3 separate regions of the Mus musculus genome follow, and all the other regions are reported to be linked to region 3. Evidence: microRNA targets listed by miRTarBase, many of them from high-throughput screens and not tested one by one. Region 3 holds a microRNA gene; each other region holds the end of a gene's coding sequence.
The links. Region 3 holds the annotated microRNA mmu-miR-130b-3p (CAGUGCAAUGAUGAAAGGGCAU, at 1,277-1,298, shown strand). A microRNA usually pairs through its seed, bases 2 to 8, with sites in the 3' UTR of a target mRNA and lowers its output. Matches are read on the target gene's strand: a 7mer-m8 pairs with bases 2 to 8, a 7mer-A1 pairs with bases 2 to 7 and ends in A, and an 8mer does both.

Region 1: the mRNA of Acbd5 is a reported target of mmu-miR-130b-3p. Seed matches in the 3' UTR shown: 8mer at 2,573-2,580.
Region 2: the mRNA of Rhod is a reported target of mmu-miR-130b-3p. Seed matches in the 3' UTR shown: 7mer-A1 at 1,697-1,703.

What each region holds. Positions count from the first base shown.
Region 1 is chr2:23,111,987-23,115,245 of GRCm38, reverse strand. It overlaps Acbd5 (acyl-Coenzyme A binding domain containing 5), which reads right to left. Exons shown (of 14, transcript NM_001355637.1): 14 at 733-2,741. The coding sequence ends at 2,729. Among named protein-coding and RNA genes, the nearest start is that of Mastl, 42 kb to the left of the region's middle.
Region 2 is chr19:4,423,347-4,426,605 of GRCm38, forward strand. Rhod (ras homolog family member D) reads right to left here. Exons shown (of 5, transcript NM_007485.5): 5 at 126-2,910. The coding sequence ends at 2,743. Among named protein-coding and RNA genes, the nearest start is that of A930001C03Rik, 14 kb to the right of the region's middle.
Region 3 is chr16:17,122,110-17,125,368 of GRCm38, reverse strand. Mir130b (microRNA 130b) reads left to right here and starts at 1,227; the gene lies at 1,227-1,308. 2610318N02Rik (RIKEN cDNA 2610318N02 gene) reads left to right here and starts at 167. Exons shown (of 7, transcript NM_001358255.1): 1 at 167-379. It overlaps Mir301b (microRNA 301b), which reads left to right and starts at 873; the gene lies at 873-969.

The sequences.
Region 1 (3,259 bases), not on the chromosome of region 3:
AGCCTGTCAACTTGAGATCAAAATAACCAACTTGAATAGGAAATTAGTTTGCTATCACATTTCCAGCTCATCACCTAATATTCTGCCACCAGATAAAGCACTGTTGTGTAATGGTATTTACTGGGAATAAATAATGTATCATCTAAATTTACACCTGCCAAAAAAACTTAAGAAGAACAATGAGATTTCCCCACAGAAATCAACTCGTCTAAAGAAATAAGAATGCCACCCCCAACACGCCTCTTTCACATAAACATTGTTTGGGCTGAAGGCCATTTGAAATAGCACACACTAGGAAATCATCTCTATCCTTTTGTATATGGGGAGGTATGAATTCTCCTTCACTGAAGACTGCTCTAGTATGAGCCAAGAGACAGCACTTTATTCTATACCTTTCACATTCTCAGCTTCACATCTGTTGAAACTTAAAATGATTCTCTTTTGTCCTTCGTAGGCTGAGGCAAGAGGATTGCTTCAAGTCTAAAGCTAGTCTAAGCTACAGTAAAACCCTCTCTCTCTTGGTTTTCTGTTGTTTGTTCAAGTTATATATAATAATATGCCTTTATTTAGTCTCATGACCTTATCCTTTTGCATGTTACCCGGAATGGAACCTGTGGAATCCTGTGCTTGGGATTTCGGACAGTTGTATCTCCTGCCTGCCATTTAAGATTACTGTATATGAACCACTGTTGCTTCTTGCTTTAGCTTTGTACACAGTCAATACAGTTAGCATTTCATTTCTCATTAACCTTTTATTTTTTAACTTAGTTTTACAATAAACAGAAAAGCTGATCATTAAAAAAATACCATAGCTGTCGATTTCTAAAATGAGGTTCATGTTTTAATGCATTACCACTATATCCTGTAATTACATCCTTTATATACAGGAAATGTGTGCAAAGTGCTTTCAAACTATAAAGTAATTCTGATATATAAGATACAAATGGTTGCCCTTAGGAGTTAGTTACACTTGACTACTTGCAATCAATCACACTGGTTATATCTTTGATTTGCATTCTATTTATATAAGAAAAAAGCCATCACTTTATCATACCAACCTCTTTTGTAATTTAAAACAAAAAAATGTCACAGGTCTAAAGTTTTCTATAATAATTCAGTTATTTGCTTTTTTTTCTTCCTTTTAAAATGTAGAAGATAGATTTGAGGTTTTTTAATCATAAGCAAAAGCCAGTAGATCATTTTAGGCATATCAACCAAGTTGTGATACACAAGTTTAAAATAAAGTTACAGTTTTGAAAAATTTGTAAAGTCTAGGACAAAGAAATTATGTTCTTATACTCTTTTTCCCAAAGAACAACCCTATATTCTGAAGATGGATTCTTTTCTTCTTACTCAAAATATTCAACACGTAATGCTAACGCCCCCAACATCATACAAATCAAGAACAAATTAAAATGTTTTACTCTCTAAAGCTGGCCATGGTGGTACAGGCCTGTGGTCCCAGAAGCTGAAAAGAAGTAGAGACAGGAAACTCAGGTAGTCAAGGTCATCTTCAGCTACATAGAGAATTGGAGGCTGGTAGGAGCTACCAAAACTCTGTCTCAAAAGGAAAAGCAAAAAAGGATTTTCTATGAAGTTTTTAAATTAAATCTTCAAAGAATAAAGTATATTACTGAGCGCAGGTTTGAGAAAGTACACAGGAAGATTATTTTTCAAATACAGTGTTCCGGGATCTAAATTGATCTTCTCTCTGTTTTAATGGCTAGAAGGAACTTAAGTTTCCATTAGTTAGGCATTCCTTAGTTATGTGGACATAGAGACCTGTAGACTGAAAGTACTTCTGATACCTTGTGAAGTATACCCCAAAGGAAAACTGAGGCACTAAGAAGTTAAGAGTCCAGACTGTCGTTTACACTTGCAAAAAAAAGGATTATCATGCTTTTGTTACCTTAGTAAAAACAGTATAAATACGTTTTCATTTTATTGCAAAGCACCCTATGAAGCAGACAGTAGATATCCTCACTTAAAAGAAAAATGATTACAAAGGATTATGTGTGTATGATTGAATTAAAATCTGATTAGCCGTGTCTAGAGTTTGAATACACTTTTACACCTACATTAGGCCTGTTTTTCATCATTTCCATCATCAAGTTAAGTCTGTTCAGTGAATCGTTTGTAAACAGAAGCGCAGTACAAGGACGATGATTTTCTGAGTTCCCTTGAGCAAGCCGGGGAATCAAGCCACTAACTAAAGCCCAGTCTCCTGGAGAGGATTCTTCCGTCCGGTTCCTGCCACGTAGCTGACAGTTCAGTGACTGATGCAAAATCGATTTAACCTCATTTTTAAAAAATCACTTTTGTTTTTGCATTCTTTCTTGTGTTTAATTTAGAAAAGTAAAAAGTATAAATTTTATCTCATAATTGGAGCTATGCCTTAGAAATGCAGCTTATAATTCTTATGGGAAAAATTAGGTGATCATTACTGAACAATAATTAATAATTTAGTCCTTCAAGCTCAAAAAGAGTAAGTCTATGGATGCTACTTAAAATCTAGTTGAGATTGATTTTTCAAGTATCAGCAATATTAGTCTTTAAAATGTTACCATTTGTGTAGTGCAAAGAATATTTATGTATATAAACCAAACTACTGGACAAAAAAGCAACGTAATCATCAAAACTGAGATTTTCTTCTGAATTCCACTTCATTTCCAGTCCGTCTCTTAGGTCGTCCAGGCCCAGCAGTCTTCTTGAGTAAAAAGCCATTTCTTCAATTTAGTTTTCTTTAAAAAGAAAGTAAAAACCAATTTCCTGTAAGTATAAATATAACCTGAATATGAAGCACATTCATACCAAAGAATTGCATGGACAAAACACAGCATTCAAATTTATAATAACACTGTAAAACTACAAATCATTTAAGGTTACTTCATTGTGACTTAACTTGGGGGGGGAGATGCAGGTAGTCGGATTATCAAATGTATTTATTCATAAATAACTGCATACTAGCAAAATCAAAAGAAGGGAAACACACCAACAACATAAACAACCAACAACAACAACAAAATAACAAGTATCAACAATCATTAATCATTGATATCTCTCAATGTTAATGGTCTGAAATGAAAAGAGACAGAGACTAATGAATGCAGAAACAGGATCCATTCTTCTGCTGCATATAAGAAACACACCTTAACATCAATGATAGACATTACTAGTAAAGGGTTGGAAAAAGATGTTCAAGACAAACAAACCAAAGAAGCAAGTGGGGTAACCACTTTAATATCTACCAAAATAGACT
Region 2 (3,259 bases), not on the chromosome of region 3:
TCTTCTTGCTTCAGCCTCCCAAGTGCTTGTGACCACGAGCATGACATCATGCCTGTAGAATTCAGTAATAATACGAAAATAACATTCAAGCCGGTGAGATGGCTTCTCAAAGAAAGGCACTTGCCTTACAAGTCTGATGATCCGAGTTTGGTCTCTAAAATGCACATAAAAGTAGGAGAAAACTGATTCCACAAAATTGACCCCCAACTTCCACAGCTTTGTCATGGCAACATGCGCCCACATACACACAATGTTAACAATTAACTTGATAAAAAGCATATACAGAATAAAACAAAACAAAACAAAACAAAACAGGTGTAGTGTAGAAAGTTGGCTCAGTGATTAAGAGCACTGGCTGCTTTTCCAGAGGACCTGGGTTCATTCCCAACACTCACACGGCAGCTCACAACCGTCTGTAACTTCAGTCTCAGGGGATCTGACAGTCTTCATGCACATGGTACACAGACATGCACGCAGGCAAAACACTCATACACATAAAAATAATTAAAATTAAAAGCCAGGTAAGCTATAGAGTGAATTTCAGAGCAGCCAGGGCTACACAAAGAAACCCTGTTTCAAACAAAAACAAAAATTTTAAATTAAAAAAATAAAAGCAAAATTCATTTCTATTAAAAAAAATAGATGTGATTATGTTTAAATTGTTAGACTTTGGAGGCCAGTGCCTTCAGTAGATGAAGACACTTGCCACCAAGCCTGACAGCCTGAGTTTGATCTCTGGGACTCACATAGTGAAAGGAGAAAACTGACTCTTGAGGATTTTCCACTAACTTCTACATGTGTGTCATGGCATGTCCCACAGCCCTCACAAATAAACATGTGAGAAAAGAATTTTAAATTGATAGTCTTTGAATAAAGCAGGTGGCACTCAGTATGTGTGGGCCTCTTGTCTTCCTGAAGAATTCTGCCTCAAGTTTAGCAGTCCAAAAACCCTGAGTTTCCAGCCCACAGCCCTGCAAATTCAAATGCTGGATGTCAACACCAACTCATTTGCATTACAAGTATCAGCCTGCCAGACCCCACAACCACACGGGTATGAGCATATGAGCAGGTTCCTTAATGAAACCGTGTGTGTGTGTGTGTGTGTGTGTGTGTGTGTGTGTGTGTACCCCACATTGCACATGTAGAGGTCAGAAGACAACTTTCAGGAATCAGTTTTTTTCACCTTGTTGAGGCAGGTCTCTCTTGTTTCTGTAGTTTCCATATGTGGGGTGTGTGTATCAAGGCTTTTGAGCTTCCAAGAGATTAGAAGAGTTTCTTGTCTCTGACACCTTTTTTTTTTTTTTTTTTTTTTTTTTTGAGACAGGGTTTCTCTATCCCTGGCTGTCCTGGAATTCACTCTGTAGACTGAGCTGGCCTCGAACTCAGAAATCTGCCTGCCTCTGCCTCCTAAGTACTGGGATTAAAGGTGTGCACCACCAACACTGGCTTGATTTTATGGTGTGTATGTTTGCCTGGTTTTGTTTTTGGGTTTTTTTTTTTGTGCCTGGTGCCTATGGAGGCCAGAAGAGGGCATTGAGTCCCACAGAACAGAAACTACAGGTGACTGTGCGCTATCCTATGTGTGCTGGGAACCAAACCTAGATCGTTTAGAAGACAAGCCAGTGGCACGCGCACACGCACACACACACACACACACACACACACACACACACACACGTGTGAGGACTCACGGAGATAGTGCACTAATGCTTTTGATCACTAGCCTCTAGCTTAAAAAAAAGTGAAGTTACACTTCAGTTCTACTGTGTATGTGTTGGGTGGGTTTATACCAAGGTATACATGGAAGTCAGAGGTCAAATGTGGGAGTCAGTTTTCTCCTACCATATGGGTCCCAAGGAACTCAAGCCGTCGTGGCAAGAACCCCTGTCTGCTGAGCCACCTCACCAACCTCGCATCTTGCTTTTTATATGGGTTCTGGGAATTGAGTTTAGGTTGTTTGGTTTATGTGGTGGCACCTGGAAAGCATTACTGCACTATCTCCGTGTGTGTGTGCCTGACACTGTGCTGTTTCTGGAGAAGTCTACTAACATGGTAGACAAATGAGAGTGTGTACCTTTCATGCAAGGCACTTGCTAAGCTCTTTGAATGTGTTAGTCCTCATGACTTTTATTCATGCTTGATGTAATTTCTGATTGGCCATTTTACAGATGAAAGGCTGAGGCCTAGAACTTCCTCAAGGTCTTAAAGTGATAAAGTCAGGTTTGGTCCTAGCAGTTCCACCCTAGGGTCTAGGTGGATGGGCTCTTTCCTACCTAGTAGTATGTAAAGATGCTTTGAAGGAAGAGTCAGGACACTAATAGCAAGTGCTGCCATTTTAGTTGTTACACTTAGCAATGGGATAAATAGGATGATCACGGACGGGGCAGGGTATTAGCCCGGGCAAGATGGTCTTGGGAACCCTAGGTCCTGTAGATATAACTCAATAGAATAGCCACAAGGTGGCGCCAAACAGACCGCACAGACCCCGCTCAGGACGCAGGTCCAGGATTGGGCACAGGAGTCTATAATGGTTCCAGAGCTAAGGGTCTGGGAACCCTCTTCCTCAATCCAGGATTCCTCGGTCCAGGGGCCAGGCCTCATTGGAGCCCATCTGTGGATGGATGTGTGGTTCTACCAGCTCAGCCTAGGGATTAGGTCCATCCCAGTCAACAGAGTACAAGTTCTGCTTCTGGGTCTTTCTGCAGCGGAGTAAACCGGAAGGCAAGGTGGGTTCCAAGCCAGTCAGGTGGCCAAGCAACAATTCTGAGTAATCCGCCGCCAAAAGTTATGTCTGCGACTGCTGAGAGCCACTTCTGCTGCTTCCTGGAAGACGGCTTCCACGTTGTCATGGAGCCGAGCTGAACACTCAAGATAGGCCACCGCTCCCACAGACCTTGCCATATCGTGGCCCTGCCAAAGAGCAGTAGGAGCTACTATGAGTTTGGGATGCGGGGTGAAACTCACATTTGGTCTTGCTGCAGCCCTTTTGGCAATGTCAGTAGTCTTGAGGACAATAGTGGGAAGTGGGGTTTTTCCAGGGCACCTTCAGTGGGCAACTAATCTGTGTGTTACAGAGAAAGGTCTAAAATCAAATAACATGGACCTCAGGGGTCTTATTTGTGCATATTACCTATCTGTCCTGTCAGAGCCTCCTTGAGCATTCTGGGTTCTGCTTCCAAGTGCTGCCCCTTCCTGACTGCTGACATCCGCCAAGACCCCCGTGTGCGACACACCTGGCACAGTGGGGAAGTATCCAGAG
Region 3 (3,259 bases):
CGGACAGAGCTCCTTTTCAAGAGTTATGAATGAGGAGAAAGTGTTTGTAGAACTCATTGTTAAAACGGTGGAGCCAAAACTCGGGCGCCTGGCCAATCGGAGCCTGGAGGCTATTTTGAAATCTTTCCAGCAGCAGCCAATAGGTGCGCAGGAGGCAAAGCTTGGTGTAGGCGCAAGCCAATGAGGCTGGCGCTGTGCCTTGAGGCCCGGGGCTCGGCCCTCGGGACTGTCAGATGGTTAAAGATGGAGCCGAGGGAGAGAGGGCGCCACGAGGTGCTGAGGTGCGGGGTTGTCCAGATATGACGGGGCCGCCGCCTACCTGGATCTTCCACTAAGCTTCACCTTGTCCCCCTGGTGAGAACAAGAGGTGTCTGTCCACGTGAGTAACTGGTCTGGGATAGGGTGTGCGGTGAGGCCAGGGAAACTCCAGATGCCAGGAAGCCCTAGTTCTGCTCTTCTAGGCAGGAGAATCTGTTAGGATAGAGTGCAGAACTCATACTGGGGGAATGGACCAAGGACCGGATCTCGGACTCCAAGGGCCTCACGTGCAAGGAGTGAAGTATCCCTCTTATTCTAGTTCTGGTCTGAAACAGGGTACAAGTAGTCCCACTGTGCTCCCCTCTGCAACTGAGCGCAGGCCTCTCTCCTTTGTGTTTGAGCCCCCTCGGGTGCTCGCCCTTCAGCTCCCTCCTTGGAGTACCTCACCAGAATCAGAAGCCTGTTAGAGAAAGTTTGAGTTCCCTGAAGTTAATAAGTCCAGAGGACTGCATCCGGGCTGGAATCCCGTCTGTTCTCCGAGCTTGGATAGATGTCCCACCCACCCATGGTGGTTGAATTTCCAGCGCAGCCCTGCGTGCAGCGAGGGCGATGGATTTCCTGCTGGCTGCGGGTGCTCTGACTAGGTTGCACTACTGTGCTGTGAGAAGCAGTGCAATGGTATTGTCAAAGCATCTGGGACCAGCCTCGAAGACCACCTCACCTACTGTTCCTTCTTTCTTCCCTTTCCAGGCCTGGCCCCTCAGGCCTGCAGGCCGTACCCTCCCCCTGCTCATTTTACTCTCTTCTCCATGGAAACTTGAGATTGTAGCCAGGCCCGTGTCTCTGGGGTCAGAGGGCATCCTTTGCTCAGGCCGAGGCTCCGCCCAGGTGGGCATGCGTTCTAGGTCTAAGATCCCACTCCAGCCACCCCAACTCCCCATGCCCCGCCCCACCCCGTGAGACTGACAGGCTTGTTGGACACTCTTTCCCTGTTGCACTACTGTGGGCCTCTGGGAAGCAGTGCAATGATGAAAGGGCATCTGTCGGGCCAGCTAAGGAGCCTGAGGAACAAAAGGGTCAGTGCTTGGATCATAGTCTTAGATAGAGATAGCTATCTCTAGCTAAAAGGATAAGGTGGATGCTGAGAACCATATTCCAAGGCTGGAACCAGTACAAAGGGGAGACCCCAGATTTGGAAAGGCTCCAGTCTCAAGCTCTTAGCCCCCTCCCCCCAGGTTAAGATAGGGGAGTCTGCTGCAGGGGGCGCGGCGGTGAGTGAATGGTAGGTAGCTCATGCCTTAAATCTCAGCACTTGGAAGGCAAAGGCAGGTGGATCACCCAGATCTAGGGCATCCTGGTCTACATAGTGAGTTTTAGGACAGCCAGGGATACACAGAGAAACCGTGTTTTGAGAAAAACCAAATTAACTAATTAATTAATTAATCAATTAAAAAAGAAAGAAAGATTGGTGAGCCCATGTCTGGAGGCTGATGCAGGAAGATTGTCTCAGTTTTGAAGCTGTCTGAAGAATCAAAACAAAACTAGGAACTCCAGGACCTTGTGGAGAGAAACAGATGTTCACCTCTTTGTATGGAAAAGGTTTGTATACCTTGCTTAGCCTTGACTGCCTCGGGAAGAACTGGACTCAGCCTTTCCTGAGATAACCACACCTTGGGTTCACACCTTGAGGCTCAGAAGAAGTGTCCTGCCTGGGCCAGATGGATGGACTTGGAACAAGAAGCCTGCAGAGTAGGCCTGCCAGCCATGTCTGCTTGCTCCTTTACAAAGAGGGTATGTGCTGAGTAGGAGAGGCATGGAGGTGTCTGGTATGTCTGCTTTCCAGACAGGGCTGGAGCTCATTTTTATTTATTTATTTATTTATTTATTTATTTAATTTATATGAGTGCACTGTAGCTGTCTTCAGACACACCAGAAGAGGCCATCGGATCCCATTACAGATGGTTGTGAGCCACCATGTGGTTGCTGGGATTTGAACTCAGGACCCCTGGAAGAACAGTGCTCTTAACCACTGAGCCATCTCTCCAGCCCTGGAGCTGAATTTTTAAGGATGCCCGATCCTTAGTGTGCTTGCAGAGTTACCTTTAGCGGCAAGACCCAATGGCCCATGCCTTTGAATGCAGCACAGGGAAGGCATGGGTAGGTAGATCTCTGTGAGTTCAAGGACAACCTGGTCTACCCTGCACGTTCCAGAAGAGCTATATTTACATGGTAAAGCCCTGTTTCAATGCACCCACCCCTCTTTTACAAACAAACAAAAACCTAGTAGGAGGTGGTCAGGCCTGCCTCCTTGAGAGGAGGCCCAGGCTTCCAGATTCCCTTTTGGGAATAGATTGAGAAAATCAGCCTTAATAGTACTCTAGCTCCACAAGTCCTGGCACCCATGGGGACTGCTCTGATACATAATGAGTCTCAGGCCTGACGGAGGGCTTTGATGGGGAAGAAGCAACCACACTCCTTTGTGGCTAGGGTAGACGTGTGTCAGCAGCTGTTGCCACAGCAGATCCATCCTGAGGTGCTAGGAATCCTAACATGTGCATATCTTACATATCTTACATGTGCATATCTTACATATCTTACATGTACATATCAGGGGAGGTCTGGGCCGCAAAGGATTTAGGTTGGCTAAGTCACTTCTGTGAATTTGAATTGGCTCAGGGTGTAGAACACTTGCCTATTATGCACAAGGTCCTGGGTTTAATCCCTAGCACTCCAGAGGGGAGGGGAGGGAGAGGAAGGTAGCGGAGGTAGGTGTGAGGAGAGGCCACAGGAGGACATCAAGACATAGAGCAAGTAAGTGGTCATGGGTGCAGGCATGCAGTCTCTAATCCCATTGTTTGGGAGGCAGAGTTCCAGCCTGGTCTACAGTGGATTCCAATATAGCTAGAATTACATAGGAGACCTTGTCTCAAAAAACAAGCAAAAGAAGTGGTCAGGACATGATCTGGAGAGGGATGTGTGTAATGCTTCCGAGTAGGTAGGA